Linked DNA regions of Drosophila melanogaster. The protein of the gene in region 1 interacts with the protein of each later gene in a pairwise test. Each region holds a gene or a part of one and is shown on either strand. Other genes may lie near its edges.

Region 1 (9,876 bases):
ACATCGCCACGAATCGTGCGCGTTAAAGGCAACGTTCTACGTGGAAATCCAGTTCTTTTTTCCGCCTCTTAAATTTTCCTGCTGTGATGCACACGCACCGCCAGTGTTACCAGAGGGCGACACCTGTTGCGCTGCCGTTGATCGATCACTCTTATCGATATCGTTACCAATCCAGCTTATAGGCTTTAAAAAATTCTATAAGCTTGTATATCGAAAATATTAATACTACATTAATATTATTAGAAATCGCAATGCATTTTTAATCTTAGTCATAAATTAGGGTGGATATTAACATTTCCCAATGCGAAGAATGCATCTAGTAAGATGTTTCCGGTATTACAGTTTATTTCATCCTTTCAATATCTGGTCCCTCTCTATTTATAAATAAAACCCGCCTGAAAATTACACAATTTAAATGAACGGATCGAAAAGCAACTTTAGAGACCTTAAAACGGATTCTTAACGTGAATTAAACAACAAATCTAAAAATAATAATATAATAATATATATATATATATATATAATATATGAAAAACAAATAATTGTTTTCCAAATATGACCAAGTATTACGGCTGACAGTAATGCAATAATTTGTTACGAACTGCTTATCCTTCGTTATTGCAGTGCCTCTAGCTCAGGCTTACCACACAGCTCGCAATAGAAATATCGATAACTATCGACGTCTCACCACTCTGCACACCTAAGATCTCAAATAATCAAAGGAACAAAAAAAGGTAATCAAAAGCATTAATTGCAAATGAACATACATGCGCACCCACCCAACCTAGGATGCCCTGAGGATTTTACAGTCATCACCCAATATAAATAAATATAAATATAAATATACCAAAAATTACAAACAGTTGTCATCCTGAATTGCCCATTTTGGTCGTTAACCGCGGTTCATGTGGAAAATATCCTAGTCAGAGGCAAACGAGTAAGAATTTCAAAACAATATAAAAATATATATGATATTAATTTATTGGAATTGTAATTTATTCAAATAAAATTAAAAGTGTGGAAGCGGAGACAATTCAGGTCTTATTCGTAGAGTGAAAGAATTAAATTTAATTGTAAGTTGCAAAGCGAATGCTTAGCAAACCCTTGACTGAAATTTACTTCTTTATGTGTTAAGCTAAAGAGGGCTCCTCTTATGTATTTCTATGAATTGAGTGGATCGTGCATGGATGCTGGGATAAGCCAAGGATTTGAGCTTCGTAAGCGGTTTTGACCCTTTGGTGGGAGTCGTGAATGCGGCTGCGGATGTTTATGTCTGGTGGATTGGGTGCCCTCTTGAGTGGATCGCGCATGGGTACTGATCAGCCGAGAACTTCAGCTGCGTTAGCGGTTTTGACCCTTTGGTGGGAATAGCGAATTCGGCAGCGGATGTTAATGTTTACATTAGGGCAGGCTGGATTTTTTATTGTCACCAGAATTGGGGTTCTTATGGGATACTTGAATTTATGACTTATATCCTAAGGCATTCTATGATTTGGTTTATGCAAAGACACTAGAATAACAAGATGCGTAACGCCATACGATTTTTTGGCACACGATTTTTTGGCCGTGGCTCTAGAGGTGGCTCCAGGCTCTCTCGAATTTTTGTTAGAGAGCGAGAGAGCGGAGAGCGCTACAGCGAATAGCAGACAACTGTATGTGTGCACACGTATGTTCATGCATTGTAAATTTGACAAAATATGCCCTTCACCTCAGAAGTTCTTAGACTTTAAATCTATATTATTTTTGATCAATTGGCACCATGCGAAAAAATCTTGTTTTGCATTGCAAATCCTGATCGTCCTCGCGAAGCAATGCTTCACGGCCATACCGCGGGGGGTCCTGGATTTGCCCTCCTTACTTTTACATTGTTAATCTGTTAATCTTAATCTTAAATGTTCAATAGACGAATTAAAAAAAAAAAAACCTAATCCTGTGTAATCAGAGCACTGGGGACGCGCGCGAGTAGCCGGGCGAATCGAGTTAACGCTCCTGGAAAACCCGAAAATTTTCCGTGTCGCGGCAGCTAAATAGAGACAGGAGTGACTGTCTCTAACACACAGTAATAGTGTAAAAATCACGGAGCAGACCAATAGCCAACCCCTCCGCTTATGAGTCCCCCGTCGGAACTTCACCCTTCACACCCAACCCTTAAGTCCATGACGCTGCGCTTGCTCTCTTGACCAGCCGGGCAGCAGCATAATAAAAACCCATTTTGCGTCTGAGCCAAGGTGGCCGGCGGAATGGTTTGTGTCTGAGCCTCATCGGCCAGCACCGTAACCATCACCTGGCGAATGGTATAGGGCCGCACACCTTGCAGTCCAAGGTTCTAAGGACCCCACCCTATAAGCCAAACGATGGCACCCCCAAGGGGCCATTATAAGTGACCTCCCCCCCAAACAGAGCCCAACCAGCAAGGCCCCCTTTTCTAGAAATCGAGGAGATGGGAGATATATTATACAACGGGGTGAGGAGCATTAATCTGGCAATGAAGAACACATTTGCCAGATTGAAGGATCTCCAACTAAAGCTGCGCGTGAGGCTGCCGGAGGAGGAGAATTCGCATGCCAAATGCACCGCAAGAACTGATGCTAGCCAACAGACCATCCCTAATGGCCTCTTTAGCTATGAAGAACCGAGTAAGGGCAAAGACGGTGTCAAACCAAAGATCGCACGGTGATGTCCAACGCCCTGCACTCCAAGGAGCTGAAGTTGGCGTTGCCGACTCGACCAGCAAGACGGTAATAATGCTGCTCAAAGGTGCCTTGAAACGTGCGACACATACTGAATATGCCATCCAACTGTTTTTCTGTTTTTTATTTTTGTTCTTAGCTAAATGTAATATGTCAAATAAACGAATTTAAAAAAAACCTAATCCTGCGAACCAAACATAGGTGTGTGTTGTGATGGAGGCAACTCCTGCGCAGGCGCGCGATGTCCGTAAATGTGGTGAGCATTGCCACGAATTGTGCGCGCCAAACGCAAATTTTCCTGCTGCGATGCATACGCACTGCCGGTGTGACCAGATCGGTCACTCTTATCGATATCGTTACCAATCCAGCTTACTAGCTTTAATAAATTCTATAAACTTGTATATCGAAAATAAAATTATTATTAATATTATATTAATATCATTTCAAATGGCAATGAATATTTAATTTTAGTAATAAATTGGGGTGGATATATGCTTTTCCGAATGTGAAGAAAACATCATCCTTTCAATATCTGGTTTATCCCTCCCGTCTGAAAATTGTGAAAATACAAGCGATTCCACATTATGAATAAACGGATCTAAAAATCAACTTTAGATACCTTACAATGGATTGTAAGTTGCGTTAGCTTAAGTATGACCTGCAATTAAACAACAAATCAAAGAAAAGTCGTCCCGAGCGAGGAAAAAAAATAATATATGAAACACAAATAATTGTTTTCCAAATGACCAAGTATTACGCCTGACAGAAATGCAATAATTTGTTCTTACATTTATGTGACCCTATCATCATCGAATCATATTTCAAATTCCAATTCCGATTTCGTTATTAGGACATCGGGCTGTAGCCCTGGGTATCGTAATCGATAGTTGCGAAATAGCAGTCAGCGATAGTGTCTGACAAAATCGACGTTGTTCCACCCCTAACAAAGAGTGGTGATCTGAGCGCAGTCGGTTGATTTCATTTGGTTTTTTTTTTAATTATTCGTGTCGCCGCGATCGGATCGGATTTCCCATAATCTCTGAGCGTTCCGCCTATCCTTCAAGTGAAATGTCGCTGAATCCGCAGTACGAGGACATTGGCAAGGGATTTGTGCAGCAGTACTATGCGATATTCGATGACCCGGCGAATCGGGCGAACGTGGTTAATTTCTATAGCGTAAGTGTTGTTGCTTCCCGCTTCTGCTCGTCGCCTTTCATCTCTCCTTTATTCCCGTCTCCGCTTTCGCCTGCACATTTTTCGCTTGCCATCCCCATCACACGCACAGGTGACGCGCGGCGCGCCCTTGAAAAATTCCGCCTCCTTTCAGCAGAAAATGAATAAAGAAACTGTTGCAATGCGAAAAAGAGCGCGAAAAAGAGCAGCTGGAGATATACGGTCGGCGTATCCGTGATATCGTGGGAATAGGATGAATGTTGATAGGGGCGGGGGCAGCGTTCGATTCTCGAAGTTTCGGGTGACACATTACGCCCATGCTCGCATAAATAAATACACACATACGAAATATATGGCCAACATACAACTGCGGTTAGCACAATAGGGCCCAATATACGATATAAATTCGTGAAAAAATTGTATTAATATCTTGAAAAATATGGCATAATTGTGTTTCATTAGTTTCAATCAATTCAGTTTTTTTGTCACATAAAAGAGTAAATGAAAGAATAAAAAAGTCTATAATGATAAAGTATTGAAAATAAAACTATCTGTTTGATATGTTTTTAATTTAAATATTAACAGTTTTATAACCAATTTTGTTCTTAATAATACGAAATATCATTACTAAGTAAAACATCATCATAACACTTATATCATTATATATTTTATACTTCCAGGCTACCGACTCATTCATGACCTTTGAAGGCCACCAAATACAGGGGGCACCCAAGATTCTGGAAAAAGTTCAGGTAAGTCCTGATTATATACAGTCATGGGCATATGTATAATATTTTGCATACCCTTCCTATTCCTGCAGAGTCTGAGCTTTCAGAAGATTACCAGAGTGATAACCACAGTGGACTCGCAGCCAACTTTCGATGGCGGAGTTCTGATCAACGTCCTTGGAAGACTACAGGTAAAACCAGAATTCTCAACAAGAAAACTGTCCTAAACTCGCTGTCGGGGGGAAATTCAATGACTGCCTGCGGCGGCGGTTAGAATATTAGCACTGCCGACCAATTCAATCGATTTTCTTTTCAAGTTTTGAATTTTATTTTTGGTCTTTTCAACACGTAAATGCTTGACAATCGTTTTTGTAACAAATAGAACGTTTTGTTTTGGCTTTCACATAAGAACATTATTTATTTTGCACTGTTTCCCATTTATTTGTTATCATGTATGGGCTTTATTAAGCCTGCCACTTTATTCCATTAAGTGTTCTTCATTCTAAGATACATTATACCCGTTACTAGTGCAGTTAAAGAGTATACTATATTCGTTAAAAAGTATGTAACATGTAGAAGCAATCGTTTTCGACAAAATGTAGTATATATATTCTTGATCAGGATCAATAGCCGAGTCGATCTGGCCCTCTCCATATGAACGTCGAGATCTCAGGAACTATAAAAGCTAGAAGGTTGATATTAAGCAGACCGATCCTAGAGACACCGACGCAGCGCAAGTTTGTTGATCCATGTTGCCACGCCCACTCATATTGTTCAATATGAAATTTCGCGTTCTCACTTCCAGTCGGAAAAGTCGACCATAGCATTCTCTCTTGTTTTGAATATAATATCCATTGACTTATTGATGCAGTTATAGTAGGTAGATAAATGAAATGAATTTTAAAAAGAGTAACTGCCTCAATGTATTTTACGATACCTTATTGTTCAAAGTGGATATATGTAGAGACGTAGAAGCAAATTTCAATCGCCCATCACTTAAGATATGAAATCATTCATCATTCTTCCGTAAAGTCGTAAGGGCAGTGCTATTTGCCGACCGCCGCTGCATCTATTATTCCATATAAGTCACCTGAATCTGAATCGAATATCTCAATTCTGGTTATTACAAAACGAAACACAAATGCCAAAACAAACCAATGCAGACCGACGAGGATCAGCCGCATGCCTATATTCAGACCTTCGTATTGAAGCCGGTGGGCGGCAGTTTCTTTGTGCAGCACGATATATTCCGACTCTCGCTGCACGATGTGTAGCACCAGCGAGCCCGACCTGCCACGCCCAGTCCACAGACTCCAGCGCCCGGCTATATGTGTGTAAATCGAGATCGAGATCAGCAGCCAAACGATCAGCCAGCAGACACGAGACGAGAGCCAGTTAAAAAACGAAAGAAATCCATATCTAAGCGATAAGATAGTTCTGCTGCTTGTCGACCTTATGCCGCCCAGCCATGCCCACTCCGCCCACATATACAAAAATATTTATCCTTGGCGTCTCGTCGTCGTCCAATTTCTTCTAATTATTCTCACAGTACGTGAATGTCCAACGAAAATTAATCAAATCAAAATGTTGCGCATTTCATTTCGTGCATGGTTTTCGTTGATTTTGAGTTGGATTTGCTCTTTCTTTCGGTTGGTCGCTGGGGACCTGGAACCTCCTAATAATGCAATTTTAATGTAACACAAACAATTTCTGTAACCTCTATTGCTTTACATTTTTAACTAAACGGTTTATATTTATATTATATTTTTAGATGCTTTCAATTGATATTGCACTTATAAAAATTCTGTTTTTCATTTGTTACAAAACCAAATACCAATTGACTAGTCTTAACTTGCATATTGTTTTGTTCAATAGCTCGAAGAAGAGAACTGTAAATATCCCAAATTGTTAAGCGCACCCTAATATGCCTTAAAAAAAAAACTTTCAAATGTTGTTCAATTTTGAATGGAACTGAGGAAAGTTTTGAGAAGTTCTTATATCAGTGAATAATAATTTTGCTCGCACATTTGGTATAAAGTTTATTCTGCTCGTGAAAATGTTTTGGAGTTATGTTCAATTTATCGAGCGAGCCCTGTACAGTAAACACGCACCTTACACGATCAATCGGCTGCCAGTTGTACACCCTTTCCCTCTGACCCTGGCTTCAAACTGTGTGTACTCCATTCATATCTAACTCAATACGTTGAAATTGGTTTTTCGCACGCTTGTGTTATTGACTTTAAATGTGACTGGTTTGCCTGGCATCTGCTAACGTATTTATGATTTCATTCCTTTGCAGTGCGATGACGATCCCCCACATGCCTTCTCGCAGGTCTTTTTCCTGAAGGCCAACGCAGGCACCTTCTTTGTGGCCCACGACATCTTCCGTCTCAACATCCACAACTCTGCCTAGGAGCACTCCACTTACCTACGTATGCACACCACTCAGCACCACACATAATCGACATCCAAAGATGCCCAGCGCCAGATGATAACAACAAGCTCGGCAGTGGAACTCAGAAAAAAAAAATATAACAAAGCCAGCCAGCGGTCTCACGATTATCAGCAAATACAAAAGTTAGAAAAAGAAAAAAAAAAAAAAAACAATAAAAAAATAAGAAAATAACGCTAACTACTATTACGATGTCAACAAAATGGGCCGCCAGCTCACCTTCATTTGTGTCCCATTGTTGCCGGTACTCTCGCTTTACGATCCACGGAACCCTAGAATTATATGTTCTGCGAACACCTGGATCTCGCGATCTAATTTAGCTAGGACTATCGAATTTGGTGGTATGTGCCGTGCTACAAGCTCGTATTTCGAATTCCCGTGAAATGAGCAGGAACAGCAGGCCGGGATCATCGCCTACATAAGTTTAGAGTGATTTTCTAGACCGTTTATATTTCCAATTGAATTATTTGTACTTTAATTATGAGGATTATTTTAGATAGCCGTATTGCAAATGTATTGTGTCGAGTGTCTCGCTCTGTAAACAATTACTTGAGTACCGGGACTGCACCACACACAGTCGCAAGTATCGACTCTTGCTTTCTCATATGACTAATTGAGCGATGGCGAATTACTTTTTATTGAGAGAAAAAAAAAACACTTAAATATAAAGATAAACGTTAACAGTTTGGTTGTTTGTATGATTGGCGGAATGGCCAGTTGAACCGGAAAGATATGTATACCCTTATAAGCTATTAAATGCATACGAAAGAAGCTCCAGCGGATCTGGCCAGTGGTTTCCGTCTAAAAACTGAACGATTCACTTGTCGCGAAATGTGAACACCGCATCGAATCCGAATAGCACCCCATTGACGATGGACAGCGAGGCCTTGATGAGCGCGAGATCCCGAGTTCGGGTGCGGAAGGAGAACTCCCAGGCCTCAATGATGAACACACCGCTGGCCACGAACAAGGTGCAGCCCAGGACGCTGAAGAATATATCGATGCGCTTGTGAATGGGTGCCCGCATCAGAACGCCTGCAATTGCAAGGTATCTTAAGTAGATTTGTGTGCAAATTTCGTTTTTGGTTAACTTATTTTAGTATTTTAACTCTTAAGGACTGGCATTCCAAGGCGTACCTGCAAAGACCCCGATGACCACTATGATGTAGCCCGTGAAGGTGCCAGTGGCCAGGAACGAAGTCATTATATCGCGATCGTTGAAGCTGTAGAAGTGGAGCACCAGACACGCTACCGCAAAACCCTGGAAAAGTGAGGGGATTTTCATTTGTGGTGCTTCTTGGTGTTCTTATAATTTCCGAGTCTATCTGGTATTTCGGGTCTTTTCTTTTAATTCCCAAGTCGTTTTTTTTTTTTTTTTTTTTTTTTTTGACAAACCATTGTTTAGTAAGCATACGCGTTGCTTTTTGCATTAATTCATTAATCCTTAGAACTTGCAGTAAAATCACTTGAAAAAAAAATCCTTTACCAGTTCGAGAAACTTGACCACATTGAGGCGGCCTTTTCGCTCGCCATGAGACATTTTGTGAAACTGCTGCCGCTGACAGTCCTCGAAAATGTGGTCCAGCTTGAAAATGTACGTGTCGCAACTCAAGAAAGTTCCAAAGTTCTTCCGATTGGCCTCTTTGGAGCGTGCTCGCGACGGCAGAGCGCTGGACAAACTGATTCTGATTCGGAAATGGATGACGGATGGCAGGCAAATGCGGCTGCAGTTTGCAGTTGGGCGCAGTCGGGCCCAGCCAGCGAAATTAATTAATTACACTTAGGAAATAGGCTTTTCATTCTTGTTCCCATCCCTGTGTATCCGCCCACGTCCACCACGTCCGCCGGGCCTCTCGGTTCCATCTCTGAAGTGGAGACCGTCTGCGTTCTCCGCTGCCAGCTGCACTCGAGCCCCATCCCTTCCAGCTTGATTGAGTGGAGCATAATGTCTGTATCTGCATGCATGCTCTGTGCCGGTGGGTGGCCAGTGGACAGTGGGCAGCCGCCCAATGGACTCGGACTCATTGTGCTCGCATTGCCATTACCCCAAATTTGCTGCCTAACCTTCGGGGCCCAAGATCGGAGCTAATTCGCGGAATCGGGGCCAACGGGTCGCCAATTTTCCGATGGTAATCAAGTGGATAATGGAAAACATATCGCCGGGGAAATCACTTCCTCAAATCATGAATAATCTTATGGACTTCATGGGAATTATTAGGTTGTAAGGTTGTGTTGCAACGCTTTTCAGATATAAAAGTGGATTTGTAATGCATGGAATATATTTTTTAATATATTACAAGTACTGTACTTTTTAAGTGCAATTAAAAGCTTAGAGCAACATAAAAAGTAAGCCGAATTTTATATACCCTTCACCTATAGTAACTTAGCTACCACTAGCTTGGACGACTACAGTCGTCCTGTTTTAATAAAATGTATTTTATTTCTATTTATTTTTCCTGTATTTTTTACGAACGTTAAACTGCAAATCCCATTCCGCTCGCTCCTAGTTCAGCTAAATTATATAGTTTATATAAAATTAGATTAGTAATTACATTTCCGACCCGGCCTGTTATTGCCTTATCTAATACCTGCAATAGGTTTAATAGTTTAAGTAAATACGATTACGTGGAAATAAACAGACACGGTAAGATTTAGTTGGGTGTCAATTCTGACTAAAAATATATATCTAAGTAATATATACTTTGTTCCTGACTAAAACAATAACACTTCCTGTGTTCTATGGTCAATTTGAAAACATGCAAAATAAGTTGTTACAGCTGAACAAATCTATTTTTAATTTTTAAATTAGTTCTCTATAGAGTGTTTATGCCAC
Region 2 (5,662 bases), on another chromosome or scaffold:
TTTACTTTGTTGAAGCAGGTGACTTTTATGTGTAAATAAGGTTATTGTTTCTACAATATAGTTTTTTTTAAGAAAAACAAACATCAGACCTTTTTGCATTCCAAAATGTACATATATTTCATTCCGAATGTGACCACTACAGTCAAACTACTCAAACAAAGCTCAGTCTGCTTTGGATAAACGTATGGTTATTAACTTTTAGGCGACCACATACCTTGATGAAACATTTCTCCATCGATGTGCAGTCCATCGAGATCTTTGATTATCTGACCCACATCTGGAATGGTTGCGATCGCCTCACGTGCCCGAATCTCTCGCAGAATCACGACCGCCAAAATTAGGCCGATAAACTGAAGCATCATTTTGTTGGAAACTCAACTCGACCGGTTAAGTTGCTATCTAACCGCCGACTGAATTATTTGTTTGGTGAACAGGTGTTTTTATTTATATTCTCAGTTCGTGCTCTTGTATCTTACATCTCTCTCTCTCTCTCGCTCTCTCTTTCGTTTTGCTTCTTTGTCTTGTAATCTCTCTGAGAATAAAGATATAATACCATTGGATTGTTTGCATTTTTTGAGTACTTCCGAGTTCTTTCTATCTATATACCTTTATACATATGTATGTGTATTTAGGTCTAGGTCGCATTAAGTTCTTTGCTTTTGTCGATCCCCTTTCTTTACAGAGCTAAAACAAAAAGTGATTTATCTCGCGAATGATGTATCTCAATAATTTTATTCAAGATTAATCGTCAATTATATTTGACATTTTTCTTATTTAATAATCGAAAATAATCTATTGTTAAATGACCTGGCAAACAATGTATGTACACAATATATTCATACCTGGACAGCTTTCGATTCATTTGTAAATGAATAATGATCATGTAGATTTCGGGGATCATTTAATTGAAATCTAACCATATGAGTTGTAATCGTTGTTATTGTTATTATTGTTGTTGTTATAATTGTTATAGTCGTAGCTGGGTCGTGCAGTAGTGTACGTATTGTAGGGATTGTAATTGTTATACGTGGGATAAGCTCCATTCGATCCATAATATGAATTTGGATTCACGCCCGTACCCGTGCCTGCCCCAATGCCCATTGGCAGGATTATTAAGGGCTCCACAATTATGCTGGTACCACCCATAGTTCCACCTCCCTGGGGCATCATTGGCATCATGGGCATGGCACCTGGCATGTACGGTTGTCCCATATAAGGTTGTCCCATATACGAGGGATAATACGCACGCCCCGGAGATGGTACATTCATTGAAACAGGACCAGGATACGGCAGCGCTCCTGGCATTGGCATTGGTCCTGGCATGGGACGCATTGGAATCTGACGTGCCGATCGATTGTGAAATTGTGGTAGTGTTGCATCAGAATCCATTTCGGAATCCGTCATCGTTTCCCCCAGAGAAGCTGACAAATATATGTATTAGCTATTAATTTTAGGAACGACAAATTTGAAAGTAATGAAATAATGTTCGGAAGGAGTCCATCCGGTGCTGAGTAGCTTTGAATTTTTTTTAACCAGTATCGAAGATCTTAGGAAGATCCACCCGAAAAGGGTAAGTTAATATTGTAATTATAGGTACTATAACTGGGTGGGTACGGATTGTAAAATGATGGAAGTGAGTTCCCAGCGGAACGTCCATTATAGTTCATATACGTTGGATAGGACATCCCTACTGAGAAGTGGAGCCAAGGATTGGCCGAATTGGGTTGTCCTTGCATGGCATATTGCCGGTTGGCCTGGTATTGAATTGCGTACTGTGGGTTGGGCTGAGGTGGAATCACATATTGTGGTGCAACTTGACGCGGCTGCTGCATTTGAAACGGTGGGCGAGGTGGTGGATACCCGGGTGGCATTGAAGCTGGCATCCCCACAGGCTGATAAGGCATTTGTGGCGTTCGCCGGAAACGGTGCAAAACTGGCGAAGATATAGAAACGAAAAAAAAAGGTTGATAATAGATTCTATATTTATTATTTGCACATAACTAAAGCTCCTGGTCTTTTAGCCAGCTAATGTGAGGTAGATTAAATAGTTATTGGTTGATGAGGGATTGGCTGATCTAGACAGGGGGTATCCATATTGACCATATGAACTTGACCGCACACTGGGATAGCAGTTATAGTAGCATGGTGGAGTGGGAGGAACTAATTGTGGCCCATTGGCCGATCGCTGCTGCGTATAAGAAGGCAATCCTGCTCCCGAATTCGGATAACGGGGATAAGTACAGGAATATGGGTAGAGCGGACTGATGGTACAGGGAGGACTTTGTCCTCGATTTAGCCAAGGATTTGGCTGTTGAGGTTGCTGGGAACCATCTTGAACAATAACCAAAACATTAGCCTGCCGTTGGCCTGCATGGGTGGCAAATGTATCGGAGTTACTGAAATCGCTCAGCAGTTTAAAGTCACTGTTCCTATTATTCCGATTGCGACTCGTGGAAGTGCTGGGTATGATGATGCTGTTTCGGGTGTTGGCAGTGGTCTGTGTAGTGTCGATGATGAAATCGCTGGCCAGCTGATCTGAAACGGATCAGTTGAAAAGGACCAGATTTCAGTGTGAACCGATGAAAAAACAAAATTTTACGAACCTGATTGGCACTCCGGATAGGTTCCACATTGTTCTCCTTCTTGCTGATTTGGGTTTTCGCAGGGAACTCTGGATACAATGCATTTTTTACCAGATATACAGGCAATATCCTCACAACTAAGTCCAAATTCTGTATTGATAGTGGGGAATTTTTTAGATTTTATCCCTTATCCTGTTCGCTGACTTACTTCTGTATCCTTGGACAACAATCGTCGTGGCTAATATCAAATATATACCAACAAGTTCCATTTTCTCTTGTAAAATTCCGAAACTAACTAAATTCATTTCCCTAAATCCCTCATATTTATATCATTTTGATATTTCATGGTTGATGAGTTGCGGTAATGATTATTTGCAAAATTAAATCACCGAAATATGATGATTATTGTTCTGACTCTTTCTAACATAAATAAAAGTTCATTAAACAGCGCTAATTGAATATTTTTGTATGGCTGTTTAAATGCAGTACATTAAAACTTACACGATTAATAAGTTACTGCCTAAATATTTCAGCAGTAGGTTAGCCGAATAGAACTATCTATTAAACGGTCTCTGAACTACGCCTTGAACAGGGGTAAATAAACATTGCTTAACAAAATAACACACACTTTCAGCCTTGATAGATATTACTGATTAATTAAAACGAAGTTTAACCGCATTGTTGAATCCGCAACAATTCTAAGTGAATGATTACTCGACCAATATAAATCAATTTTGGTTTCTATCTGCTTCATTTACGGTTTTTGCCTTTTGTTTACCCCCTAAAAAGTCCATTATAATTATTAACCAAGCAGGCGTATACTTCATACGTTCTGCGACGATTGTGTTGCGATAAGATAAACAAAGGGAACCGCACAAGTAATACAAGGTATTTCCTTAGCTTCGATAAGAAAATGTGAAAGTCACTGCCATTGGGACTTCGATTCGGGCCAAGGGACTGCCTCTTGGGCTACTGGAACAGCAGAAAAAATTAAGGCTTTTGGAAACGTGCGGCACGTGAGCAAATAATCCAATGGCTGGGTAAATAAATAGCTCTACCCCGGCCATAAACGATAACGTCAAGCATTTGATAACCTTACTCTTATCAATATGTCCAACATGCAATAAACTCCAAAGAGAACAAAAGCTAAACGTGATTTCACTGTTTTATGGCCCATGAGAACTTAATTTAAACGTGCCTTTAAGCATTTTCCTAAGGGCTACCCTTCAATAAAAACCTGTTTTCTTTAAGATAGTCTTTTTATTGGTTTTAAATTAAGAAATTCGTTTTTTTTTTTGGAAATTGCACACCCACAAAATCTGATATTAAACACCCAGGACTCCATCGACAAACAGGTCTTGTAAAGGTAGGTCTTTCACCACTGCAGTAAAGTCCTCCACAGTACAGGCATATGAATAGCCCTTCTTTAGGTCCTCTTTGGTCCAACTGACCCAACTCAGTTGGGCGCCAATATCCTGGCAGATGATGTACTCCTCTTCGATTTGCTCAATGGTGGCATGTGGGTTGTTAACTCCAAGTAGCACGATGCCATTTCTGCTCTCGCGATCGATAATCACGCGGAAGTACAACTTTGGCACTGGAATCAGACCATTGTTGTTTTCATCAAAGTCCAAATAGAGCTCCCTTCCAATGCCATTTACATCCGGCAGGGTGGACACACCCCATGTGCCCGTATAGCAATCCACTGTGATGTTTTCATCCGCCACAAACTTTCTCACACTGTCCTCGATTCGTTCCCAGTTTCCGCCATTAAAGGTCTGCCACTGAGGTGCCGCATTCACAAAGAAGAAGCTCGCCTTTTGAGCGGCCCCAAAGACAAAGTCGGTCTTTGCAGAAAGGTGACCCCGAGCCAGATAGACATTACCAGTGGTGTTGAAGTATGGTGAGGCATCCATGCCCAAAATCTCGGAAACCGTGATATTCTGTTGAACTTGGGTGTACAAAGTGTTCACATCCTTGCCTCCGTAAAAGTCGCCGGGTATAAAGGATGGCCTGGATACAGATCGCTGATATTGGTCACTTCCGGGGTACAAAACATGATGCACATAGCGGGTGACTTCGCTCAGTTCATCGTGACACACGTCATAGGTCTGCAGGAAGTCGTCGCTCGAGGAGGATGACAGCTGAAAGCCCACTTCAAGCAGATCAGTACCACCATTGCAGGGACGACCAGAGCGACGAGCAGTGTATGTTGGCCAGGAAGTGCAGACAAAGTCCTGCAGCTGATACAAACTGCCCATTGCCAGGATGCTCTGCTGTTGCCAGCATGTTGAATTGACGAAGGTATAACCAGAGAAGGGTCCACTGAAAGAATTGATGCAGTGGAACTCAAGGGCTTCTCCATGTTTTAGCTGAACTACTCCTTCTTGATTCGGTTCCAAATATCTCGCATGACCCAATTCACTCCTGACTACAAATAAAGGAGCCGGATCCTTAAGATCACCGTTCACTTTAAAGCTGCACACTTCATTGTCCAAGATTTGATCAGTCAAACCAAGAATTCCTGTTGTTTGCAGTTGATCTGTGGGCAAATCCTTAACCACTTCGATGAAATCTTCTACAGAGCACGCATAGGAGTAGCCCTTCTGCAGGTTTGCTTTGTCCCAGTCCAACCAATCGATTTGCGCTCCCACATCCTCACAGATCACATAATCCTCGAGGGTCTCCGTCAATGTTATATGTGGATTGTTGACCACAATTAGAACTACTCCCTTGCGACTTTCCTGATCGATAACAATGCGATAGAGGATCTTAGCTACTGGCAGTTGTTTGGTCTCGGCATTCAGATACAGAGGTGTCTGGACACCTTGTGAATTGGGTAGAGTTGAGATATCATAGCTGCCGGCATGTACACTCACATTAAGTGCCTCATCCGCCACAAATTGCTTCAAACTGGATTCCACTGCAAGCCAATTTCCAATATTGATGCTTCTCCATTGAGGAACTGCGTTCACATAAAAGTGGGTGGCTCTCTGGGCGGAACTATGGACGAAATCAAGACGAGCTGCCAGCTGTCCTCTGGTCAAATAGAGATCCTTAGTGCTGTCAAAGTACTGACT
Region 3 (9,993 bases), 2.3 Mb from region 1:
CATTTACGAGGCGGCCCGCAATCGCATTGAGCGTCCTTCGCTGACCAACCGACTCGTAGTTGGACGCTCAAATACCACCAAGGAGCCTCTCGAGCGCCGCCACCGCGACACAGCAAGCACAAGTAAACTCCCAGAATCGCTGCGGTCTCGTCTGTTTGTCGGTAAGAGGGATCCTCACATTTCTCATGGCATCTACGCCAACGAGAACCGGAGAAAGGCTGTTGGTGGCGGTGGTGCTAGGGATAGCGATAGCGGTACTGATAGTGATGGTGATGCAGCTGCTCCATCGAAGAACAAGCGCCGTTCGCCATCCCCATTGTCGCTGCGTACGTCGAACACAAAGGATGGATACCGCCTGCTGGTGAGCAATCTGCATACTAACGTGACTACTGCGGATATTCGCGAGCTTTTTAGCGACATCGGCCCAGTGTACGACGCTCGTGTGGTGCGTCCCGGCACCGCCGAAGTTATTTACAAGTCACTGGAACATGCCGAGAAGGCCGTAGATACCTATCACCATCGTCAGTTCGATGACCAGCCCATGCACTGTGTGCTGGTTAATCCGCACTCCTCCCGTCGCTCGGTGCACAAAGCCAGGTGAGTGATATGCTTTAAAGATACCAAGCAGTATTGTTCAACGTTCTCGGCCGTAGCTCTCGCACCGTGACCACAAACTCGTCTGGCGTGGAGGTGGACATCGATGCACTTCACTCGGTACTCTTCAGGGTCCGCTAGGAAGCGAGAGGCAGAGCCCGGGAACTAAAGCAACTAGATAATTTTTCTCATCATTTTCATCATCTCCGTAGTATTTAGTTCAACAACGTAGTCCATTTTCATTTCGCGCTTATTAAATTCGAATCGATCCATCCAGCGTATGTTCAGAAAACCAGACTAGTTTAAACGAGAACATTTCTTTACTATAGAAACTTGAATTTTCTAATGCAAATTCTGGCATATCTGTCCACTTCAGTATTCAGTATTAGGTGGCTAAAATTTTTGTCTTATCATCAAAGTAATTCATCAGTCCCACTATATACACAATTAAATGTATGGCATTGATAATGATTTTGCATCCGCTCTTGAAATTTGGTATTGAAAACTTTTCTTTTACCTTTTTTGAATGACACTATGGATTATGATTATACGATAAATAAGAGGACCCAGTAATGTTACAATTGCTTGTATAATATTTCATAAAATGTACAGTTTTTAAATTTCATAAAATTAATTCATAATAATTAAAGAGAAAGGAGCAGTTTGGTAAGCAGTTAAGAGTTGCAAAAAAAAATGTATATGTAAAGTAACTTGGAGGCCGCTTAGTTATCCCGGATGCCCGTTCCGTAGTTGGCGCCGCCGGCACGGTTCAGTGCTTCACGGAAGAGCTCAATGTCCAGCTCGGCCTCCACTCCCGCCTGAAGTTCCACGGCAAAATTCTGCAAGAGATTAGAGATGAGAGGATCTATTTCTGCCTCTGGGCTCTGGCATCTCTAGCTATTGGCTACTCACGTTGAGGACATCCTTGATCAGCGCCTTGTCCGTGGACATCTTGGCCCTCTGGATGACGCCCACCTCCTGCCCGATCCACGTCAGGAAGATGAACTTTTTGCGCTTGGACATCTCGTCACCCATCTGGATGCGTATGTAGCCAAAGGCGCGCTCCGAGTCGCCGAACTGCTGTCGGAATTCCTCAAAGCACTGACCGCGCGCATGTACAATAATCTGGGCGCCATCGAACTTGAATACCGCCCACTCGGTGTCTGTCAGATCGGAGCGTACATCCTCGTAGGCCTCGCGAATCGAGTCCTTCTCCAGCGACGTGGCCAGCGGCATCTGCGAAAGAGCAAGGGGGAAGAGGATTATAAGCAAGCGAAGAGGGGAACTATAAGCAACTTTCAGACGGAAGTATATATCTTAATCATGTATTCCAAGTCCGAATCGTTTCGCCAAGGCGAATGGATCATCCGCTTTGGCCCATCGATAGCGAAATGTATTGTATGTACTCAATGCGGGGCCAAGTACTCTTGACGGCGCCATCTATGAGTCAGATTTAAGCGGTGCTTTCGCTTTCGATGGTTATATTACATTCAATTCGACTTGTTTCCGTGTCAGGCAACCTCAAGTCGGCCAGGGGAATAGGCACGCCATTGCATCGCCCACTTGCATTACGTTCGGGCAGATTCACGGAAAGCAATTTGTTGCCGCTTTAGTGCTTTATAAACATAATACCAGCGGGCCAGCGGAAAAGTAGCCAATGTAAATATGTACATATTTCGAAGAAAAAATAAAGGCTTTATTATGATAACATACTGGAACATACCCGCATATTAAATTACAGCATTTTTGATAATGATATCAGCACACACATATGAGGGTTCAGGGTTCTGGTTCAAAGCCCAAAAATATGATGATTTAAAAATATCGATATGTAAATGAATTTAAATTGCTTGATAAGTTCGAATGGCTTGATAGTGAAATGTAAAAAACCAAGTCTCAATACGATTTTGGTTAGCTAAAGATTAATTTTAATTGTGGTTTATTAAGTGATCTTTGGGGTAGCATTATGTGCACAAAGTTAGGCTCAGCTTAGATGCGTGGAAAGCGTGTAAAGCGATTGGATCGATGGTTTTTGATACGAGTATACTTGTAGTACGGATCGGAAAACTACCCTTTCACGTAGTGCACTCTTATTGTCTTAAGCGGATCGCCGCATTAAAATCAATTTACGCGTGACAATTTTCAATCAGCAGCCGGCGGAAAGCAGGTCAGAGATTTGATAAGTGACTTGGGGTCGTCGGAACGGGATGACAACAAACAAAGAGAGCCAAATGACTGTTGGTCCAACTGCCAGCCAAATGGATCGGGCTTGGAGTCAGGAACTAGACTCGCGTATAAATAGACATTGAAGCTGGGCCAGAGATACGGATACAGATACAGCTAAAGGTACAAATACAGATACAGATACAGATACCGATGGGAAGATGGAGATAGAGATCGCTCTATAATGCGTTCAATGACCGGAGAGTACGGCGTCTGGTGAGAAAAATCAATTAGAAAAGCGACGACTGTCGAAAATATCAAAAGCCAAACAATTAAACCCAAAGATGTTTCGGGCGACGACTTTCACAACGCGACGCAGTAAGAACTTGGAGTTTGTATGTGTATTCTATGCGTCGCATAGAACTATGGAACAGCTCTGAATCTCCCGTTTCGTGGCTCTGAATTAATTAGTCGGAAGGCAGGCAAAAAAAAAAAAAAAATGAACAAGATGCGGACGCAAACTGTGCCAAAAATGAGCGGACGACTAAGAAACCGTTGCAGCGAATGACCCACCGAAAATACCCGACAAATTTTCCCCCAAACAAGCAAGATAGCAGATACAAATGTATATAGAAATGTCGGTGCTCCTCCTGCAACCTCCACGGGTACGTGAGCCAAATTGTTGGCTAAAATTAGCTGAAATTAAGTTTCCAGCCGATAAGCCCGATAACGTTCGCACATATGTATCTATATACATATATATGCCTATATGGCCATATCTCCACTTCTGACACAATGACAACACGACAAATTAGATCACTCCAGTTGGGCTGGGAGTGCACCCAAAGATCGGATAGGATAGGCTCGGATAGCCCCACCTCCGGAATTGACGCAATGCCATCTATTTGCTCTGATAAGAAAACTGTCGCAAAACTAAAGGAACTGTAATTGATTTATTACCGAAAGTTCTTGGGATCGCCCGGGCAATTAGTGCCGGTTAAATCTGTAGGGCTCGCCTGTTCCAATTTTACACGCCATAAAAATTCAGCAGAGATTGACGCTTAGTCATAGGAATCGAGATATTGCGCTGGCTTCAGGAAATATATCGAAAAAAGGGAAACTACAATAGTTTCAAGGAAAGTCAGAGTGCGTCATCCTCGAAAGATTCGCATAGAAAAGCGAGCGACAGTAGCCAGTCCATAATTGATACGGTTAATCGTGATTCGTGATTCTCGATGGAAAACAGTGAGCAACAGTCTGATAAGTAACCTTGTAGCGATGACAGGAAATGTATATGCATACATATTTTCAGTTTCACTTGGAACCACCAATAATCCTAACAGATCCATTGAGTTAGCCACCTTTCCAGCAGGAAAGCCATCTGCCAAACAATTCGCGCTACTCAAATGGCTTGCGGCCATATCCGATAGATAGATGTACATATGTATTATATCTATCTATATATGTGGATTCGTACGTAATGAGCCATATATGCCCATGTGTGCATTCATACAGCACGCTGCATTGCCAGCTAGATATATGTAGCTATAGTATCTATAGCTATATCCATCGATATCTGGCAATGAGCGGGCCGGCGATGCATCAAACGCGGCTATAACTGCAGCTAAACGTAACCAAGCATAATACAGCAAATAACAATTTGCTAACGAAAACGAAACCGAATCCCCAGCGCCAGGTGCTTGAAACTGACTTGCTGCGTAACTCAACGCTGATACCCTTGTGAAAGGTATCGCAGTTGTAGAAATTCTTGGGATACCTTTAAAATAAACATCTATGAGAACGTATTGTATGTAAATAATCCTGTCCTTAAGTAAACAGCAAGCTATCGAGAACTACAGAGTGAATGGTATTATATCCGTATCTTTTATCATTCGATGCCTGGTATACACCACTGACATTATTTCAAGTTAACTCTGTTTGTATAGTTTATATATCTAATTGTATGGTATATATAGATCGTGAGCTCATAAAGCAAATACTGAAGTATGAACAATAAAAGTTAGAGTATTCACTTTCGATTGCACTAAACATTTTGTATTTTATTCGCTTTTTCATTGTGTATGTACAAGTGGACCGAAAGTGTTTTATGTTGACTAATGAATTTCAGATAAGAAACGAAAAAAATTCCAAATAATACGATCGGGCATGAATAAAGGAAAATAAAGGAGAGGCGATGCAGATATATATATGACATACATGCACAGTGAAAACACAATATGCGGAATATTCGTGGGTCGATGCAACTGACTCATTGGCAAGGCAATTGGAAAATAACCAATAAATTGCAGCGAATCGGTTATTAACCGCTTCGCCTTGGCCAGACTAAGTCCAAAAAAAAAAAAAAAATAAATAAAACAAGCAAAAAAAATAATTGGCAATGTTGTGACAAATTGCCAGTTGCCGCAGCGCAGTCGCAATGACGTACTTGCTCCGGGTCTGGGACCGCCGATATGTCAATGTTCTTTTTCCCCCACTTTACTTTACTTTATTTCATTTCATTTTATTTCTTATTTTTATTCCGCTGCCGTCGATGTTTCATTCGCCACGCACACTAGCACAAACAGTGCAGGAAACAAAGGAGCAAACTGTTTTGTGGCTGCTCACGCCCCAGACGCCCGGAGTCGGGGGATCTGGGATGCCGGATGGGGTTGTGGATGGTCATTCTGATGGGTACGGGGTATCGGTATGGGGTACGGGTTGCGGGTTGCGGGAAACGAGGTTCCGAGTGCGTGATTCATGCCGCCTGAAGGTGACGACGACGACGACGACTCGGGGAGTGGATGACCAAAATTGGCGCGTCAGGAAGCGATTCCCGAGCATTGAAAGGGTGTGGAATGGCCGATATCCCCATCGATTCCATACACTTTTATTACTCACTTGTTTGCCTGCACTTGGAAACCTCGAAATTGTAATATTTATTGGCCTGCACAATCGTTTTGTTTGATGCCATAGAGATTAGGTTGGCGAACAAGTGCTGTGCACCAAAAGTCACATGAAACGCAGATCTTGCGATCAGCTGAACGAAGTACCCGCAAGATAATGGCACTGCAACCATTTACCCAGCTCCCAGTGCCCGCTAAATACCGTAATCTGGAAAGCTATACGTGTTTGCCAGGGCGACGGACTGCGCCGCATTAACCGCAGCGTCTTCGTTGGGTATCGATGGTGTCTCGAGATCCCAGCGAGCAAGTGCAGCAGCGGCAGCCGCACTGCAAACGCACTTGAACTTGATATGCATCGCTGCGAAGGCGTCGCATTCGGATTCAGTTTTTGGGTTCGGATTCGGATTCGGAGTCGCCCCCACAATCTGCATCCGCCCCCGCAATCGCATCCAGCCAAGATGATATTGCCCCTCGGTACTCAGTCCCTGTTCCTGCCCTGCCCTGCCCCTTTCCGCCCAGCCAGCCAGAGCCATAAAACCCAGCTGCCACCCCGCCTCCTGGACCTCTGGCCCTCTGGGGCCGGTTCTTGTGGAGCGGAGTCGCCGGCGAGCCAATGTCAGAGTTATTTACAGACACTCACGCATGCCCAGCGATATACACACACGCCGCATGGGCCTGGGCTTCAGCAACTCCAGTGTGTACACCGGAAGAAAACTGTATTTTGTATCCTTAAAGCCAATGTCCGAGTTCAATACCACTGTTGGTAATTGAATTTTTATATTATTGTATATTTCTACTAATCCCCAATATTTTTCAATATATATTTGAACAATTTAAAGTTCGAAAATCGATCATTATTCTCAAGAGAATATTATTTTTTTTTAGCATTCTTTAATTGTAGGTATTTATAATGTAGTGGTGATTAGAACTTTCTTCCATTTTAAGGTTGTGCCATCGGATTGGCTCAGCCTTAAAAGTGATCAGCATACTGAGTACCCGTTTTCTTTCGGTGCATTTATAAGATATCTCTCCGGCCTGCTCTCTGACTCTCTGGACTTCTGGCTGCCCCATCCAATCTTTTATAATTCTTAATTTTCGGTCGTCCCCTGCCGGTATACACACACATTTCATGGTCCCTGCCCGGAGCAGGACTACCGACTCCATCCATCTCCAACTCCAACTCGAACTCCATGTGTGCCCAACCCACTCCCCACTACTCACCCTTCTCGGCTTGCTCTCCACCAATTGCTCGACCTCGATGCCGTCCGACATGCTGGTGCGCTGTGTTCTGGATGTGGATGTAGATATGGTTTTCAATGCGCAGCTGGGATGCTGGTGCTCTTGGGAACAGCTTCCTGGGATCGCGGGTGAGTCTCGAAGGGGAACGGAGTGCTGGTCTGGCGGGAAGAGTTGACCGTTTGCAAGGTGACAAAGTGGCAGAGTGGCAGAGTGGCACAATGACAACGAAAACAAAAATACACAGCGCCAGAAAAACAACAAAAAAACACAATCCAAGCGCACAAAGAGCGATGGACAGAACCAGCACAGTTCCAGATATCCAGATATTAGAGCAGCCGCTGAACTTCGTCCGACCACCACGAGTTGTATCTCACGAATGCGGCGTTGCCGGCGTCTGCAACTCCGAATGAAGTGCCGACCGTCGACCGCCGAAGTCGGCGGCGCAGTCGCCGTGCGTGCGAGCGAGATGCACTGGCCAGAAGGCCCCACGGCAGCTGTTAGACAAACAGCAGGTGCGACAGAGACGGCTGCGTGGGGAGCAAGCGAGAGCGGGCGAACTGCGACGATGTCGCCGCATTTGGCTTTATTTTCATTTTCATTTTCAGTGCAGGCATTTCGGAAACACCAAAAAAAGCCAGATGTTGGCTAGTGTTTTATGCGTACACCGCGAGAAAATTTAGTCTGCTAGATGCTCCTATAATGATAATGAAGTTTGCATAAATACTTCGTGTTAGCCATCTTAACTGGCAATGGCCACAGGAAACCATAACATCGTGCGCAAATATATGTATAGTCAGATGGATAGAAAAACAACGACTGTACTCCTCCATCTAAACTATGTACGTCCTTAAGGATCAGCTGAATCCCTTGAAGAAGATCTCTTCCTCGATGGTGAAGAGGCTTACGAGAAGTGAATTCTATCTATTCTATCAAAACATGAATTTATTGGATTTATTGGGTTTCTTCGGCAACACGGATTCCTGGCATAGTCATATCCAGTATCCCAGTGGAGTCACGTCTTACCACTGCAGCTCCCGGTCATGTTATTTTCCTTCATCGAGGGCTATTCCATTCACTTCCTGCGCCGAAAAAACGAGCAACAATTGCAAGCGAAAAGGTAGTCTTTGAAATAGATGCTATAGGTGCTAATCGGAATCGCTATATATCCAAAACTATGTCTAGATCAGCACTGATCCCTGCCAGCTTGTCGGCTGGGAATGCGATCCGTGGAATTAGCGCAGAACATTTGTGCAAACACATAACGAGCCGAGATTGTATTCTCTGGCACTCAAGTGCCGTAGGAATGCGGCTGATTTGATGATTAGCGCGGTGCGTGGGCCGAACAGCAGCTGCTCCGCCGCTGCAGACGCCATGGATGATGCAGTGCACCGTATTAATTTGTCCCAATCGGCAGGGAACGTCCTCCGCGCAACATGGGAGTTGCCCGGCAACAGGGCTGCCTGGCAGCATGCTGCTAGCCACAAGTTGCCGTGGTGAGTTTGCGCCATTCGGCATCGCCCACGCAACATGTTGCGGCAGCTAGCCCAGCGGAGCGGAGGCGTCGTCCTCGTCCGCCAGTCGTCAGTTGCCCACGACGCGTTACCCGCAACGGTAGCAGGCGAGCCCTCTCCTGGCAGCCAAAGCCGCCAGCTCGTGTGCTCGGATACCCCCGAGTTCCATATCGCAATCTTTGCCAGCCTGCGCGCAAGCGTCGCCGTTTCAATAGCAATTGAGTGAAATTTTATTTTATTTTTTTCGGTGACCCGCAACGGGACATGTCAGGCGGTGGTGGCCAGTGATTGCCACGAATCACCCGGTCATCCGGGATGTTCAACTACGAGGAGGGGGATGCCGACCAGGCGGCCATGGCTGCAGCGGCTGCCTATAGGGCACTGCTCGACTACTATGCCAATGCGCCAAGTGCGGCGGGTCACATAGTGTCGCTCAACGTGGCACCCTACAATGGAACTGGAAACGGAGGCACTGTCTCCTTGGCGGGCAATGCGACAAGCAGCTATGGCGATGATGATAGGGATGGCTATATGGACACCGAGCCCAGTGACCTGGTCACCGAACTGGCCTTCTCCCTGGGCACCAGTTCAAGTCCAAGTCCCAGTTCCACACCCGCTTCCAGCTCCAGTACTTCCACTGGCATGCCCGTCTGGCTGATACCCAGCTATAGCATGATTCTGCTGTTCGCCGTGCTGGGCAACCTGCTGGTCATCTCGACGCTGGTGCAGAATCGCCGGATGCGTACCATAACCAACGTGTTCCTGCTCAACCTGGCCATATCGGACATGCTGCTGGGCGTGCTCTGCATGCCCGTCACCCTGGTGGGCACCCTGCTGCGAAACTTCATCTTTGGCGAGTTCCTCTGCAAGCTCTTTCAGTTCTCGCAAGGTGAGTGGAGTCCTCCCGGTAAACGGCAACCACTAAATGCCTAAACGCCTGGCTTATTTAACGACCTGTCCCACTGGAGGGAGCTGCGTTCTCGGACATTATAAGTAACCGCCTAATATTAGCTTAGCTGTCCCAATTCCCCCATCTTCTGTAGCCTTCAATTAGTTGGAATTACAAATACATAAGTTGAGGGCCCTATTTATGGCGCGTGTGAGTTGGGGGCGACCGGGATTCGTAGTTTCCTTGGTTCCTAGGTTCTTGGGCTCTTGGGTTCCTGCGCATTTAGGTTCGTTGGTGGGGCATTAAAATAATTTTTTACGATTATCGTCGCATGTGGATCGTTTTATTGGCCCTGTCTTGCGGGGAAGAGCTCATAAAGCGCGCAAAACAACAAGTTGTGTAAAAGGTGGGCATACAATGTCCTGGTTTCCATCTCCACCTAGTTACCCCTTTATTTCCATACCACCATACCCATACCCACATCCGTATCCATATCCCTGTGCGTGTCGCATGTTCTCAGAAAACTGAAAATGGAAATGAGAATCATAATGTGGGCCCATGTTATTGACAGAGTGTGCGCCATTGTCTGTGGACAGGATACGGATAGCGTGCATCCTTAAGAGTCGCACGGCCATCGCATAACTTCAAATCAAACGCGTTGGCAGGACAACAGTTGGACGTGATTAAAAAGACA
Region 4 (6,250 bases), 6.9 Mb from region 1:
CTCACTCGGTGGCAGAAACGTGTCCAACCTTCGGACATTTTCAATGGGCCATATATTATTGGTAATCAGGGGATCTCGATATGGATTCGATACGATTTCATATGCATCTCGTAGGCGTGTGTCGCGGTGATTATTATGATGGGCATGTCATGGGCTTACAAGATAATACAAAGACCATACTATGCGGATCTTCGGAGGCCATTCATTTGAATGCGAACTTCTTCTTCATCTTCATCATTGTCATCATCATTTTCTTCTTCTTTTGCACCTGGCGCCCCAAACACGCGCCCCGCACAAAAAAGTGAACAAAAACGCGCAGAAATGTGACAAATTGAAAACAAGTTAAGGTTCGAGTCCACAAAGGAAAATGTCAAGTTGAGGGCCTCTGACAACCGCGGGCACAGTCTGCCTTAATTATGACTAATTGCTGTGCGAACAGCCTCTATATATCCAAAAGCTATAGCTCACGATCGTGATGAATATTCAGCTGAGTTCGACTTTAGCGAAAATTGCAACAAAGCTGCTGAATTGATTTGGATTAGCCACTTTCGATTTGCATATACGACAAACGGAAGGGCTTGAGCTTGAGTGAAAGATAGAAAAACTCAGATGTATAAGATATAATATACATGTTCTAGTTACAATCTATATCTAAATAAGTAAGCAAATTGCAAAAAAGTTTGTTAAAAAGTGATATATTGCCTGAAGAGCAATACTGCTTTAATAAAATACTTTAAAATTAGTTCATTATTTTATATATTGTTTTACTTTATAAGGTTATTTTACTTGAAAGTGTAGTAAAACACTAAATACAAATGAATGTTAAGCAACCAGAAGTAAATAGCAGCACTAAACCGCCCAACTGATGTAAGTTGATAAACCACTTGATGTAAGTATATGAACCAACTAATGTAAGTTGATGAAGCGTGTCATAAAAGGTGACAAAAGCTCTCCCAAAAGACAAAAAGACATTTTTTACCATTTGGCAAAGCCATAAAAAAGTTGTTATAAAGACTTTTAATGTATTTACTGTATAACAACAACACAATCAAAAGCCACATATAAATAATTCAGTGGAGACATCAAAAAAAAAAAAAAAAGATGAATAAAAAATCAATTCGGGCTAGTTGAAGTCTATAGACTTTTGAAACCAAACATGGGAGTTGAATAAGTCTGGTTTTAAACTATGGAAAAATCCCCTTTTCGATAACCATCTTAAGTTCACGAAAAGAAGTTCATTATCATAAATGTATGTATGTTCTTTAGGGGAAACTCTTTGACGTCAGAAACTAGTTTGGCAAATTAAAAAAAAAAAAAAAAATATCGCGAAGCTAAAATTAACTCAGAAGGTTCTTTGAATTTCGCTGAAATTAACTTAAATCGATTAAGTTTGCCCTTTAGGTGGGCAGCTTCTTTCTCTACCTCTTTTCTGTGACGTCAATTCAAAATTTATACATGTAAGACAATCATTTGAATTTATTCGTTTTTAAGTTGGATTTATTTTAGAATATGAAATGATAAACATAAATCCATTTTTAATGATCCATTGTTGTTGCATGATAAACTATTACTGCTTTTAAGTTGTGGATGTTTTTTTTTTTAATTCTTGTACCATTTTGTTTAAACTTAATTCCATCCAGAAACATATCAGAGTTCAATAAACCTTGATGGTGAATGTGCATAATTATCGTAGGACTTCGGTTTTAGTCCACACCCAAACCACTAATCGTGTTTTTTATTTCAGCCTTTAATCGCCTTGTATTGACTTTTGAAGACAACATAGTTTATGAACACATATGTGTCTGGCCAGGGTATGCATAAAACATAGGTCTGTCTATATATATGTATCAATCACGACGATAGATTGTCTCGTTTATGGTTATCAGTCAGTTTTGGCAAAGATTTCGATTAGCATAGAGACAATCGTTTTGTCTGTCCGCATCTTTATGGCCAGCAGATCAAATAAATGAATAAAAACAAAGGCACAAAAAATACAAGAAAAAAAAAAAACAAAATATGGATCATAATTTATGGCGAACATGTTTGATGAACTCCCCAATTTGGGGCTTCGAAAGCCATCGCATTACTTGGCCCTCTTGTAGACATAGCCGCCATTGGATGCGTAAACCGTATCCGCCACACTCTTGGGATCGTCGGCCGATGGTGGTGCCACTACTGTCCTCTCACTGTCCTTTGGTTGCTCCTTCGCCGGCTCATCGGAGTAGCCCGGCGGAGCGGGTCCTCCGAAACCGGGTCCAAATTGTTGGTAGGGATTCTGGCCGGGCACAGGTCCGCCGAATCCTGCGGGCACATTGAATCCTGCTGGACTGGGTCCTTGGAAGGGACCCTGGGGATTTGTGAGGGGAAGTCCCTGGTTTGTCAAGAACTCCGGTGGATATGCGGATCCTGGGAAGGGCCCTCCCTGTGGCGGGAAGTTACCTCCTAGGAAACCATTGCCCGGTATTCCCTGTGGCCCGAAGGCACCTCCTTGTGATGGGAACACTCCCTGCTGTGGTGAGAAGGGAGCTCCTTGCGTTGGGAATCCATTGCCAGGGATGCCTTGTGGCTGGAAGCCAGCTCCTTGTGGGGGAAACCCACCTGCCTGCGGGAAACCACCTGGCTGGGCAAAATTACCAGCTTGCGGACCGAAAGGACCACCTGGTGGCAGTTGGAAGGCCGCATTCGTAGGACCCCCTGCGAATGCGCCTCCATTGGTAGGACCCGCCGGGAATGCACCTCCGTTGGGATAGGCCGAAGGCACTGGCCCAATACCATGTCCTCCTCCCTGCTCGACAGGACCTCCGCCGAAGCCGTAGAATGGTGGATAGATGGGCAGAGGGAAGTTTGGCGGCTGGACAGGCTGTGGCAAAACGTTGCTGCCCGTGGGAATGGCATAGCCCGGCGGCAGTGGCAGTCCAGTCGATGGATAGAATCCAGATGGATCCTTCTGCACCTCCTGGCCATCAGCAGCAGACCGTGTGGTTGGCTCCAGTTCCGCACTGGGCGGTATATATTCCCTGGGCAGGTGACTCACATCTCCGTTGATCAGGGGCAGAAGTAGGACCACAACGGCCCATGGCTGCATCATCTCGAGCTCCGGTTTGATCTCTGGGAACTTGCACGGCGACGGTGGCTATGCGGCCACGGGCCCCAAATCCGCCATATATAAGACGGCATATCAACATATTACATAAATTCGCGGCCGGCTCATTTCACTTTCGCATTCGGCGAACGGAAATTGCTTTGCATCATCACAAAGGTTCCATAAATAATCGCCAATCCAAAGGTGATCGAAGGTGCGAGGGGAGGTGCCAAAACTGAACTATAAAATTTAATTTAGCGGCCGGATTTTACATAAATAAACTAACGCCGAAATCGAATGTTAAATTCAGCATCGCACAAAGAAAAGAGGCGATAATGAAAAAGATTCAATAAACGAAAAGAAAGAACAATGAAAGGGTAACATTTTATTTGATTTAGATTCAAGTTCTTGCTCAGCTTTATGATGAATATTAAATTTTAAAAATTACTACCTGAAAGCAAAAGGGTGTTAATTAAAAACAGGAAAAACGTCGAGGAGGTTCGTTTTATTTACTGTAATATACTAAATAATGGTTTTGAATGATTTCAAAAAGTCTTGAGTAAATAATTTTTCAGAAATGCCAAGCACTCTCAGAAAATGTATCTGCAAGTCATAGTTTTGAAATACTCAAAAGCTTAGTGTTAAAACTAGGAAAACCATAAAGTTTCATGCTATATTTAAACTAAAAGCTCTTTGAAAATGCTTAAAATAGTCGCAGCTTCCAAGTTTAATCAAAGCTGCAAGCTGTTTATAAAAAGCCCAACTTAATTAAAGCTTTATATTATATTTTTTAACGCTAATACTTAGTTAAAACATTGATGTATGTTAAATGTTTATGTTCTTGTCCTACAGGTTTTAGTGTTAACTAGTCGAAGAATTAAGCTTTTTAATTTTGAAAATTACCATTATAGACTAATGCCAATAAATCTTCTTTACTTTGTATGGACATATCATTCGTATACTTTATTATATTTTTATTGGCTTATAAAGTGCCACCTTTTGTCTACTCTGAAGTATTAAGCACCAACAAGCACTTGCTTTTGACGTTCGATTTTGAAAACGAACCGCACTCAAACCGCATCAAAACCGCAACAAAACCGCACCTAAACCGCAACCAAACCGCACTCAAGTCGCGCGTGGTTTTTAGTACGCTATTTTGGTATCCTGGTCCGGAATTTTGATATAAAGTGAATAGGGATACACTTGTTAAAAATTTTATTAATATTAATATTAGACGCTTGTTTTTATAACTCTGAAACCCATTTTAAAAACAAAAGTATTTATTTGGATTATTGATGTTTCGGTTTATTTCGTTGTAAACAAAAGTTTACAAAACAAAAAAAAAAAATATATGGTTAATTTGGGCAGTATGTAGTTATGGACACTGTTTCGTGTTCAGTTGCAGGCCTCTTCGTTGAAGATCCCTACTTCCTGTAGACGTAGCCACCGTTGGAGGCGTACTGGGTGCCCACATCCACGGAGGGTGCAGAGTAGCTCACCGATGGGGCGGAGTAGCTGACGGCAGGAGCGGAGTACGACTGCTGGACAGCAGGGGCGGAGTAGCTGACCGATGGAGCGGAGTACGACTGCTGGACAGCAGGGGCGGAGTAGCTGACCGATGGAGCGGAGTACGACTGCTGGACAGCAGGAGCGGAGTAGCTGACCGATGGAGCCGAGTAGCTCACAGAGGGTGCCGAGTAGCTAACAGAGGGGGCGGAGTAGGTCCTCTGGACAGCTGGTGCGGAGTAGGTCCTCTGGACGGCCGGTGCGGAGTAGGTCTGCACAGGAGGCAGGTACTCGTTGCTGGGGGCGACATACGACTGCTGGATGGCTGGAGCGGCGTAGGTCTGCTGCACGGCTGGTGCGGAGTAGCTCACCGAGGGAGCGGCGTACGAGCTCTGGACGGGGGGCAGGTACTCGTTGCTCAGGTGGCTAACATCGGCGGCCACGCAGGCGAACAGGGCGAAGGCAATAAGGAATTTCTGCAAGTAGGACAACACACTTCACACATTACAAACACAGCAAATTTTTTAAGCACCGCAAAAAAAAAAAAAATTTTGTCAAATAATATTGTTAAATCGATGTATCCTTGTTTCAAGCTGAACTTGTAATCCTTCACTGACCATCTTGAGTTGAGGTTTCTGCGTTTTCAAGCGACTGTGCTGGATGAGCTAGAGGCTGCGACTGATGCCGGTCCCTACCAGCCGCCAGTCAATTTATAGCTGCCGGCCGTCTTCGAAGAAAAGCCCCGGTTTTGGAGAGCCCGTTCCAACTGCAGCGGTGGCACACCGGCACTAACGGCAGACGCCGGGCAAGAAGAAGAGCAGGCTTAAGCGGCCAGCGGACCAAGAAGAAGCCGCCGCAAAAGACGTCACCATGAAATCAAGACAAACAAACGGCTGACTGGTGCTGAGGGGCTGAGGGGACATAGCCACATAAGTTGGCAGCTAATTGTGAAAACTGTTAAAAAGTTTAAGTATTTTCAATTAAGAATATGCTTCACTTATAATTGTTTATGTACACCAGACCGTTTGCAATGTTCAATTAAGTAGTAGTGGTAGCACAATGCAAAATAAGTAATAATATAAAAGATTTAGATACTAACATTTGAGCTAATCACCTATTTACAACTTAAAACTGCCGACTTGTTAAATATTTACTTACTTCTTAAAAACTGAGTTTTGAAAAAAAAATGGTAACTTGAAACGTTAACTAGCATAGATCATTGGCAGAGCTTACTTAGTTAGATGGTTTTGGCAATAAAATGGCTAAAATGGCAACACTAATCAGGGCGGAGGTTAAAAAGCATATATAGGGAGGGGGCTGGCTAAACTACCAAACGGAAAATCACATTAAAATTAAATTCAACATAAAAATCGAACGAAATCGCACATGCAAACGGGTTTGGCTCATTTACGATATTATATTTTTTTCCATCCACGCAACGGGTTTGCGGCGGGTGAACTACTTTGGGACACCTTTTTGTGGTCTCTTCAATCTGGCTTATTAGCGTCGGACTCAAGGGGAATGGAGGGAGGGAGGGGGGGGGGGGGGGTTTGTGCCGCACAAAGCCCAAAAAAAAGGGGGAAAAAAACTAAGGGGGTTCCACTAATTAACATTCAATTTAACACATTATACACCGGAGCAACCATTTTTCTTGTTTCAACC

The links.
Region 2: the proteins of Ntf-2 (region 1) and CG43894 interact in a two-hybrid assay, tested with the Drosophila melanogaster proteins (one large-scale study listed by BioGRID).
Region 3: the proteins of Ntf-2 (region 1) and CG6891 interact in a two-hybrid assay, tested with the Drosophila melanogaster proteins (one large-scale study listed by BioGRID).
Region 4: the proteins of Ntf-2 (region 1) and CG11581 interact in a two-hybrid assay, tested with the Drosophila melanogaster proteins (one large-scale study listed by BioGRID).

What each region holds. Positions count from the first base shown.
Region 1 is NC_004354.4:21,031,856-21,041,731, forward strand, and holds Ntf-2 (nuclear transport factor-2), read left to right. Parts: upstream 1-3,613; 5' UTR 3,614-3,758; coding exon 3,759-3,866; intron 3,867-3,975; exon of another isoform or gene 3,976-4,235; intron 4,236-4,543; coding exon 4,544-4,615; intron 4,616-4,683; coding exon 4,684-4,782; intron 4,783-5,754; coding exon of another isoform or gene 5,755-5,865; exon of another isoform or gene 5,866-6,139; intron 6,140-6,890; coding exon 6,891-7,004; 3' UTR 7,005-7,860; coding exon of another isoform or gene 7,861-8,078; 3' UTR 8,079-8,091; intron 8,092-8,159; 3' UTR 8,160-8,180; coding exon of another isoform or gene 8,181-8,304; 3' UTR 8,305-8,529; coding exon of another isoform or gene 8,530-8,583; 3' UTR 8,584-9,612; downstream 9,613-9,876. Other genes in the region: CG1529 (uncharacterized protein), read right to left, coding at 1-4; CG15449 (uncharacterized protein), read right to left, coding at 7,861-8,078, 8,181-8,304, 8,530-8,583.
Region 2 is NT_037436.4:12,887,413-12,893,074, reverse strand, and holds CG43894 (uncharacterized protein), read right to left. Parts: upstream 3,306-5,662; 5' UTR 2,852-3,305; coding exon 2,791-2,851; intron 2,733-2,790; coding exon 2,604-2,732; intron 2,536-2,603; coding exon 2,018-2,535; 3' UTR 1,970-2,017; downstream 1-1,969. Other genes in the region: CG14118 (uncharacterized protein), read right to left, coding at 215-362; CG14120 (uncharacterized protein), read right to left, coding at 3,908-5,662.
Region 3 is NC_004354.4:18,772,518-18,782,510, reverse strand, and holds CG6891 (uncharacterized protein), read right to left. Parts: upstream 7,284-9,993; 5' UTR 6,933-7,283; coding exon 6,882-6,932; intron 6,014-6,881; exon of another isoform or gene 5,656-6,013; intron 2,879-5,655; exon of another isoform or gene 2,666-2,878; intron 1,831-2,665; coding exon 1,507-1,830; intron 1,434-1,506; coding exon 1,317-1,433; 3' UTR 1,166-1,316; downstream 1-1,165. Other genes in the region: CG18259 (uncharacterized protein), read left to right, coding at 1-597, 654-735; CCKLR-17D3 (Cholecystokinin-like receptor at 17D3), read left to right, coding at 8,726-9,299.
Region 4 is NC_004354.4:14,173,785-14,180,034, reverse strand, and holds CG11581 (uncharacterized protein), read right to left. Parts: upstream 3,113-6,250; 5' UTR 3,089-3,112; coding exon 2,084-3,088; 3' UTR 1,579-2,083; downstream 1-1,578. Other genes in the region: CG1368 (uncharacterized protein), read right to left, coding at 4,507-5,064, 5,206-5,208.